Saccharomyces cerevisiae S288C: one gene and its partner. The protein of the gene in region 1 interacts with the protein of each later gene in a pairwise test. Each region holds a gene or a part of one and is shown on either strand. Other genes may lie near its edges.

Region 1 (4,765 bases):
AAGACAGCAACCTCATCATATGGATCCAGCAATTATCTCTTCGAGTAATTCTAACAAAAATGAAAATGCCGTTTCCACGGATACCTCTACTCCCGCAGCAGCAGGTGCGCCAGAGGGAAAACCCCCACAAAAGACTTCTAAGAATAAGAAAAGTTTGAGTAGCAAAGAAGCCCAGATTGAAGAGTTGAAGAAATTTTCCGAGAAATTTAAAGTTCCATATGATATTCCAAAAGACATGCTAGAAGTCTTAAAAAGGTCAAGCTCTACATTAAAATCTAATTCTTCGTTGCCTCCAAAACCGATCAGCAAAACCCCTTCGGCCAAGACTGTTTCTCCTACTACACAGATTTCTGCAGGGAAATCAGAATCTAGAAGAAGTGGCAGCAACATATCTCAAGGCCAATCATCTACCGGCCATACCACGAGATCTAGTACTTCATTGAGAAGACGTAATCATGGTTCCTTTTTTGGTGCCAAGAACCCTCATACTAATGACGCCAAGAGAGTGTTGTTCGGAAAAAGTTTTAATATGTTCATCAAATCCAAGGAGGCCCACGATGAAAAGAAGAAAGGCGATGATGCCTCGGAGAATATGGAACCCTTCTTTATTGAAAAACCTTATTTTACTGCGCCAACCTGGTTAAATACAATTGAAGAATCGTATAAGACATTTTTCCCAGATGAGGATACGGCGATTCAAGAAGCTCAAACTAGGTTCCAACAACGCCAATTGAACTCCATGGGCAATGCTGTGCCTGGTATGAATCCAGCTATGGGCATGAATATGGGCGGGATGATGGGCTTTCCGATGGGAGGTCCATCGGCATCACCAAATCCGATGATGAATGGCTTTGCTGCTGGGTCAATGGGTATGTACATGCCATTTCAACCTCAGCCAATGTTTTATCACCCATCTATGCCTCAAATGATGCCAGTTATGGGTAGCAATGGGGCTGAAGAAGGAGGAGGAAATATTTCGCCCCATGTCCCTGCAGGTTTTATGGCAGCTGGCCCTGGCGCTCCTATGGGTGCCTTCGGGTATCCAGGAGGGATACCCTTCCAAGGAATGATGGGATCAGGTCCATCTGGCATGCCAGCGAACGGGTCGGCAATGCACAGTCATGGCCATAGTAGAAATTACCATCAAACTAGCCACCATGGCCACCATAATAGTAGTACCAGTGGCCATAAATAGTGAAGGAAGCACGTCAGAAAAAGCAATATATAGTAATAAATTCATGCACTTTATAAATATGGTATATAATCAGTGGTACTTACTTACCCATAAATAATGGAACTTTTAATTTTTATGGGAAGGATACTGGATTTTCATTTTTTTCATTTTTTTTGGAACAGGGTACTGAAACTTTTCTTTTTGAAAAAAAAATAAGAACTGAAGAATTTCAATGAACTGGAAGGCTCATCCATTTTTTTTTTTTTTCTTCAGATAGAACAGGCTTTAGCAAATTTTAAGTAATCAGTATTTCAATCGCCACAATCTCAGGCTACATTGAACTCTGTAGGCCACCGATAAATATTGCGGGATAATGAGTAAACGAATTCAACGAGTTTCCTATTTTGGTATTCTATATTTTTTCATACACCTAAACGATCGTAAACATTTGTTGTCAAGATTTACGTTTCTTCGAGGTCTGTGAAAATAGAGCAAATTGTTACTTAAAAGACAACAACAAATGTGTAGGGCAATTCTGCAGTAACAGCAATGTCATTCCTAATGCGTACAAACAGTACTGAGACTTTCAAACGAATAATAACTTCAGCAATAAAAATTGTCCAGGTTAATTATGGAAGATATAGAAGGATACGAACCACATATCACTCAAGAGTTGATAGACCGTGGCCATGCAAGACGTATGGGCCACTTGGAAAACTACTTTGCTGTTTTGAGTAGGCAGAAAATGTACTCGAATTTTACTGTTTACGCGGAATTGAATAAAGGTGTTAATAAGAGACAACTAATGCTTGTCTTGAAAGTATTACTTCAAAAATACTCAACTCTTGCGCATACAATCATTCCTAAGCATTATCCTCATCATGAAGCGTACTACTCTAGCGAAGAGTACCTTAGTAAACCTTTTCCACAGCATGATTTCATAAAGGTGATTTCTCATCTTGAATTCGATGACTTGATTATGAATAATCAACCAGAATACAGAGAAGTCATGGAGAAAATCTCAGAACAGTTCAAAAAGGATGATTTCAAAGTCACCAATAGGTTAATCGAATTGATTAGCCCTGTAATCATACCTCTGGGTAATCCGAAGAGGCCTAATTGGAGATTGATTTGTTTACCAGGTAAGGATACTGATGGGTTTGAAACGTGGAAAAACTTCGTTTATGTCACTAACCACTGCGGCTCCGACGGTGTCAGTGGATCGAATTTTTTCAAAGATTTAGCTCTACTCTTTTGTAAAATCGAAGAAAAAGGGTTTGATTATGATGAAGAGTTCATCGAAGATCAAGTCATCATTGACTATGATCGAGACTACACTGAAATTTCTAAATTGCCAAAACCGATTACGGATCGTATTGACTACAAGCCAGCATTGACTTCATTACCCAAATTCTTTTTAACAACCTTCATTTATGAACATTGTAATTTTAAAACCTCCAGCGAATCTACACTTACAGCTAGATATAGCCCCTCTAGTAATGCTAATGCTAGTTACAATTACTTGTTGCATTTCAGTACTAAGCAAGTAGAACAAATCAGAGCTCAGATCAAGAAAAATGTTCACGATGGGTGCACCCTAACACCCTTCATTCAAGCGTGCTTTCTTGTAGCCCTGTATAGACTGGATAAGCTGTTCACAAAATCTCTTCTCGAGTATGGGTTCGATGTGGCTATTCCAAGCAACGCAAGAAGGTTTTTACCAAACGATGAAGAGTTAAGAGATTCTTATAAATACGGCTCCAACGTTGGAGGTTCGCATTACGCCTATCTAATCTCCTCATTCGACATTCCCGAAGGTGACAATGACAAGTTTTGGAGTCTTGTCGAATACTACTATGACCGCTTTTTAGAATCGTACGACAACGGTGACCACTTGATTGGTCTGGGGGTCCTACAACTTGATTTTATCGTTGAAAACAAGAATATAGACAGCCTTCTTGCCAACTCTTATTTGCACCAGCAAAGAGGCGGTGCAATCATCAGTAATACAGGACTTGTCTCGCAAGATACGACCAAGCCGTACTACGTTCGGGATTTAATCTTCTCGCAGTCTGCAGGCGCCTTGAGATTTGCGTTCGGCCTAAACGTTTGCTCCACAAACGTGAATGGTATGAACATGGACATGAGCGTGGTTCAGGGCACTCTACGGGATCGTGGCGAATGGGAATCGTTCTGCAAGCTCTTCTACCAAACCATCGGCGAATTTGCGTCGCTTTAATGCGATACTGCCGTAGCGGGCCTTCGTATAGCTCGGCCGAGCTCGTACAAAAGGCAAGCAGTGTATCGGACAGAGCTGATATAACACAATACGCTCGTAGTCGATGCATGCCGTGGCTGCTCTCGGTCGGGTATAAGTCTTAGACAATAGTCTTACCTCGCATGTATAATAAATCTTTTGTATTTAATCTATTATATGTTTCTATGCTTTTTTTTCCTATTGTTGTTTGCTTTTCCTTTTCCTTATTTCTTTCTAGCTTCTAATTTTCTTTCTTTTTTTTTTTTTTTTCATTGAAAATTATATATATATATATATATCAGAACAATTGTCCAGTATTGAACAATACAGGTTATTTCGAACAATTGAAAAAAAAAAATCACAGAAAAACATATCGAGAAAAGGGTCATGTCTGCTGTTAACGTTGCACCTGAATTGATTAATGCCGACAACACAATTACCTACGATGCGATTGTCATCGGTGCTGGTGTTATCGGTCCATGTGTTGCTACTGGTCTAGCAAGAAAGGGTAAGAAAGTTCTTATCGTAGAACGTGACTGGGCTATGCCTGATAGAATTGTTGGTGAATTGATGCAACCAGGTGGTGTTAGAGCATTGAGAAGTCTGGGTATGATTCAATCTATCAACAACATCGAAGCATATCCTGTTACCGGTTATACCGTCTTTTTCAACGGCGAACAAGTTGATATTCCATACCCTTACAAGGCCGATATCCCTAAAGTTGAAAAATTGAAGGACTTGGTCAAAGATGGTAATGACAAGGTCTTGGAAGACAGCACTATTCACATCAAGGATTACGAAGATGATGAAAGAGAAAGGGGTGTTGCTTTTGTTCATGGTAGATTCTTGAACAACTTGAGAAACATTACTGCTCAAGAGCCAAATGTTACTAGAGTGCAAGGTAACTGTATTGAGATATTGAAGGATGAAAAGAATGAGGTTGTTGGTGCCAAGGTTGACATTGATGGCCGTGGCAAGGTGGAATTCAAAGCCCACTTGACATTTATCTGTGACGGTATCTTTTCACGTTTCAGAAAGGAATTGCACCCAGACCATGTTCCAACTGTCGGTTCTTCGTTTGTCGGTATGTCTTTGTTCAATGCTAAGAATCCTGCTCCTATGCACGGTCACGTTATTCTTGGTAGTGATCATATGCCAATCTTGGTTTACCAAATCAGTCCAGAAGAAACAAGAATCCTTTGTGCTTACAACTCTCCAAAGGTCCCAGCTGATATCAAGAGTTGGATGATTAAGGATGTCCAACCTTTCATTCCAAAGAGTCTACGTCCTTCATTTGATGAAGCCGTCAGCCAAGGTAAATTTAGAGCTATGCC
Region 2 (3,363 bases), on another chromosome or scaffold:
TCAAACTCTACCTCATCTACGTTGACCCTTTTTACCTTCTAGATGCCATCAGTTGTTAATAGTAGTAATGGAATACGATTTGCCAATCAATCTTACAATCGCATATAATTCGTCACTGTTGAATATCTGCGACGTACACCATCTAATCACTTCGCTTAGTCGATATAACCATTTGTTTGAAAAGATGAATTGATTCTAATCTTGCCTCTCTCGGGTTATGTTATTATTATTTTTACGTTTTGGCACGTGAATCTTCAGTAATTGATTGCACGCTTGATAAACGAAAAAAACATAAACAAATAAGGTAAGACTGCATTGTAAATCCTAGGAATGAGAAAGAACAGAGAAGCTAACTGCAATTATGAATGGTGTCTGTATACAATTAAATACTAATGTTGACGGAGAAAGAGAATAAAAGACAAGAATTAACTAAATATTGAAGAAGAGTAAAATACACAATAGAAAAGAATGACTCCTTTTCCCAACACTTGTAGGAGTGTTCAAACAGTTTCTTCATCAAATACAGTTTCGATGGGTTTTTCCATCAATGATGCATGTCCGAAAACGCTGACGGCAGAAGCACCGATCAACCATAGCAAAGTTGAGATTGGCGAAGCTAAGAAACCTATTGGCACAGCAACACAAACCAGTCCGGTGTATAGTTGGTTGGTCTTGAAAGAACCAAATGGAGTTACGAGCTCCTCACCCTTTAGTTTGTTTATACCAACAATACCAGCTACGACTAGAACAATAACAAAGAGTAGCAACAAGTTTGTTAATAATGTGTAAATGCTCAAACAACCAATAATCAAACCATAGTTACTGGAAAAGTACTTCAGGTTATACGCCACTCTGGATTGAACTTCCCCAAAGTTTTGAGGTTTGGAAATTTTCTTGAAATTGAAAAATTCTTGCGGGGTGCGAAGGGTTGCTAATTTAGATTGCAAGGATTGGAACTCGCTCTTAATATTTTCCATGGAGAAGTTTTGAGTGAAACGTGAAACTTGCTATAGAAATATAGAAAAAAGGTTAACGCGTTAGTATAGTTTTTCAATGATGCAAATGTGTTTACAATTTAGAACTTACGGCTAAAGCTCCTAACTGATTCATTATTGGAGTATTTGATGTTATTTTATGCGTATTTGACGGCTGATAGTTCCAAACTCAGTGTTCAAAGCCCTGCAATATTGAATTCAATCTGAATTCTTTCGATTTGTATTTATATTCGTTGTTATTATTTATTTTTTCTTTTTGCCTCGATTGCATGTGACAAAAGTGCAAAATTCGTATCGCACGACACAGAACTCCGCCACTAATTAGAACCAGAGAAGTAGCAATGAAGGCTCATTAGTAGGTTATATTTAATTGTTTACGTATTCATGTTACGACACGTCCCTTTTCAAAGACCTAAATCTTGTTTCACAAGAGCTTTACAGATTGGATGATACGTGTCCTTGAATTTGTCGAAAGTTGCAAGTGCCAATCGACGGTCTACAGAGTTTAATAGTCTGTAACCGGGACGGACAAACTTCATTCTACCTACAGTTCCCAACCAATCGGCCAAATGCTTATATTCTTCTTGCAGCTTGGCAAAGATCTGAAATTTGAACATCTTGAAAACAACTTCCGCGTTCTGTGATTTAACAATGTTATCTTGATAGATATCTAACAGTGCCCTAGATGCCACGGGAAACTTGGCCCAGTCAAAATCTTTTGGTTTCTTGTTGGAATGGCCATTTTGTGTCAAAGTTTCCAAGAACAAAACCAATTGATTTGAATTAAAATCCTTAATGTCAATAGCGTTAAATTCAGACCGGAAATCCTCTGTGGTTTTCAAATGTTGAGCCATTTCGACCCACTTGTCAGCCAATTGATAAACATTATCAGCCAAAGCCGTAATAAAATGAGGCCTTGGTGGCATACCTGGTTTATACAGCCAAGTTTCCCAGTCAACGGAATCCAAAATTTCTTTCTTTTCGGGATAGAACTCATACAAAGTATCCAAAAACTGGAAAGTATCCAATGATTTTTTGGCAAACTTCTTGAAATAGTGTCTAATAAATGGATCAAATTCAGCCTTACCACCCAAAATAGTTTCCAAGTGAAATAGTAAGTTGAACCCCTTTTCGTACGGAACAGTGGAAAAGGCATCGTCAGGGTCAGTGTTATCGTTCAAGTTTTGTACCAAAGTGGAAAATCTTTCAGGATCTTTCATAGAATCAATAGAATTCTGCAAATCGCTCCAACCAATCAGAGCACTGAAATGTCTAGTTGGTTCGCCATGAATGGCACCAATAATTCTTCTTTCTAAGTAAACGGTCCAACCTTCATTCAACCAAAAATGATTCCACGAACAATTGGTCACTAAGTTACCAGACCATGAGTGAGCAAGTTCATGGGCGATGACATCAATGTTGGATCTGTCATGTGCAATCAAGGTGGGCGTAGCAAAAGTCATATTCGGAGACTCCATACCGCCGTAAGGGTACGAATCGACGTTAACTAAGATATCATAAGTGCCCCACTCGTATTCAAAGATAATTTTCTCTGCAGTTTGAATGAATTTCTCTACATCGTTTTCAAATTCCCATTGACAATCTTTCAAACGAAATGGTTCAGTGTAAACTGTGGAACGAGGTCCAATTGGAGCGCTTGACAAATCACCGGAAGCAATACCGATCAGGTAGGCTGGGATAGGGACTTTCTGTTCAAATCTGTAAATATTAGTATCCTTGCTTGTATCTTCAATCCTGATGCCTGAAAAAACCACTGGTAGTGGGGACTCGATAGATGCAGTGAAAGTAGACTTCACAGAGGGAGTATCAAAGCAGGGGAACAAAGACCTCGCATGAATAGCTTCCAACTGTGAAAACACGTACGGTTTACCGCCCTTGGTTTGCTTGCTGTTCAACCATTGCAAAGCGGTGCACTTGTCAGTCGTACGAAATTGAATATTCAAGGTAAAGTTATCGTTGCAAGAAGCGTTATTGATGACTAACCTGGAGCCCAATGGCTCCTTTCTTTGCTCAATTTGAAAATCTGCCTTGGAACCATCAATATGAACCTCCTGGACATCCAAATAGGATGTATCCAGATGTAATTCATCCGATTTATTTTTACCTTCGTGCAGTTTTTTCAATTGGAATGTAACGCTCCCTGAAATGGCTGACTTTTCGAAGGAAACAGACAGGTTTAAATCGGTGTGAAGAACTGCGAAGTCCTTATAATTTGATAAAGTAGACTGATCGTATTCGGGGGAGCGGGAAGGTCTTCTCTGCTCAATTGAAAGAGGCAACATTTTATGAGGGGTGGAAATGTGTATGTTTCTTGAGATTACAGTAAGTAAACCTCGAAATCGAAGCG

Evidence for each region.
Region 2: the proteins of ATF2 (region 1) and YIP3 interact in a two-hybrid assay, tested with the Saccharomyces cerevisiae proteins (one large-scale study listed by BioGRID).

Annotation. Positions count from the first base shown.
Region 1 is NC_001139.9:847,477-852,241, reverse strand, and holds ATF2 (alcohol O-acetyltransferase), read left to right. Parts: upstream 1-1,805; coding exon 1,806-3,413; downstream 3,414-4,765. Other genes in the region: PBP1 (Pbp1p), read left to right, coding at 1-1,195; ERG1 (squalene monooxygenase), read left to right, coding at 3,819-4,765. UniProt on the Saccharomyces cerevisiae protein: Can use acetyl-CoA to synthesize acetate esters from various alcohols, producing ethyl acetate, isoamyl acetate, isobutyl acetate, butyl acetate, hexyl acetate, heptyl acetate and octyl acetate.
Region 2 is NC_001146.8:543,015-546,377, reverse strand, and holds YIP3 (Yip3p), read right to left. Parts: upstream 1,111-3,363; coding exon 1,087-1,110; intron 1,008-1,086; coding exon 501-1,007; downstream 1-500. Other genes in the region: LAP2 (bifunctional aminopeptidase/epoxide hydrolase), read right to left, coding at 1,400-3,363.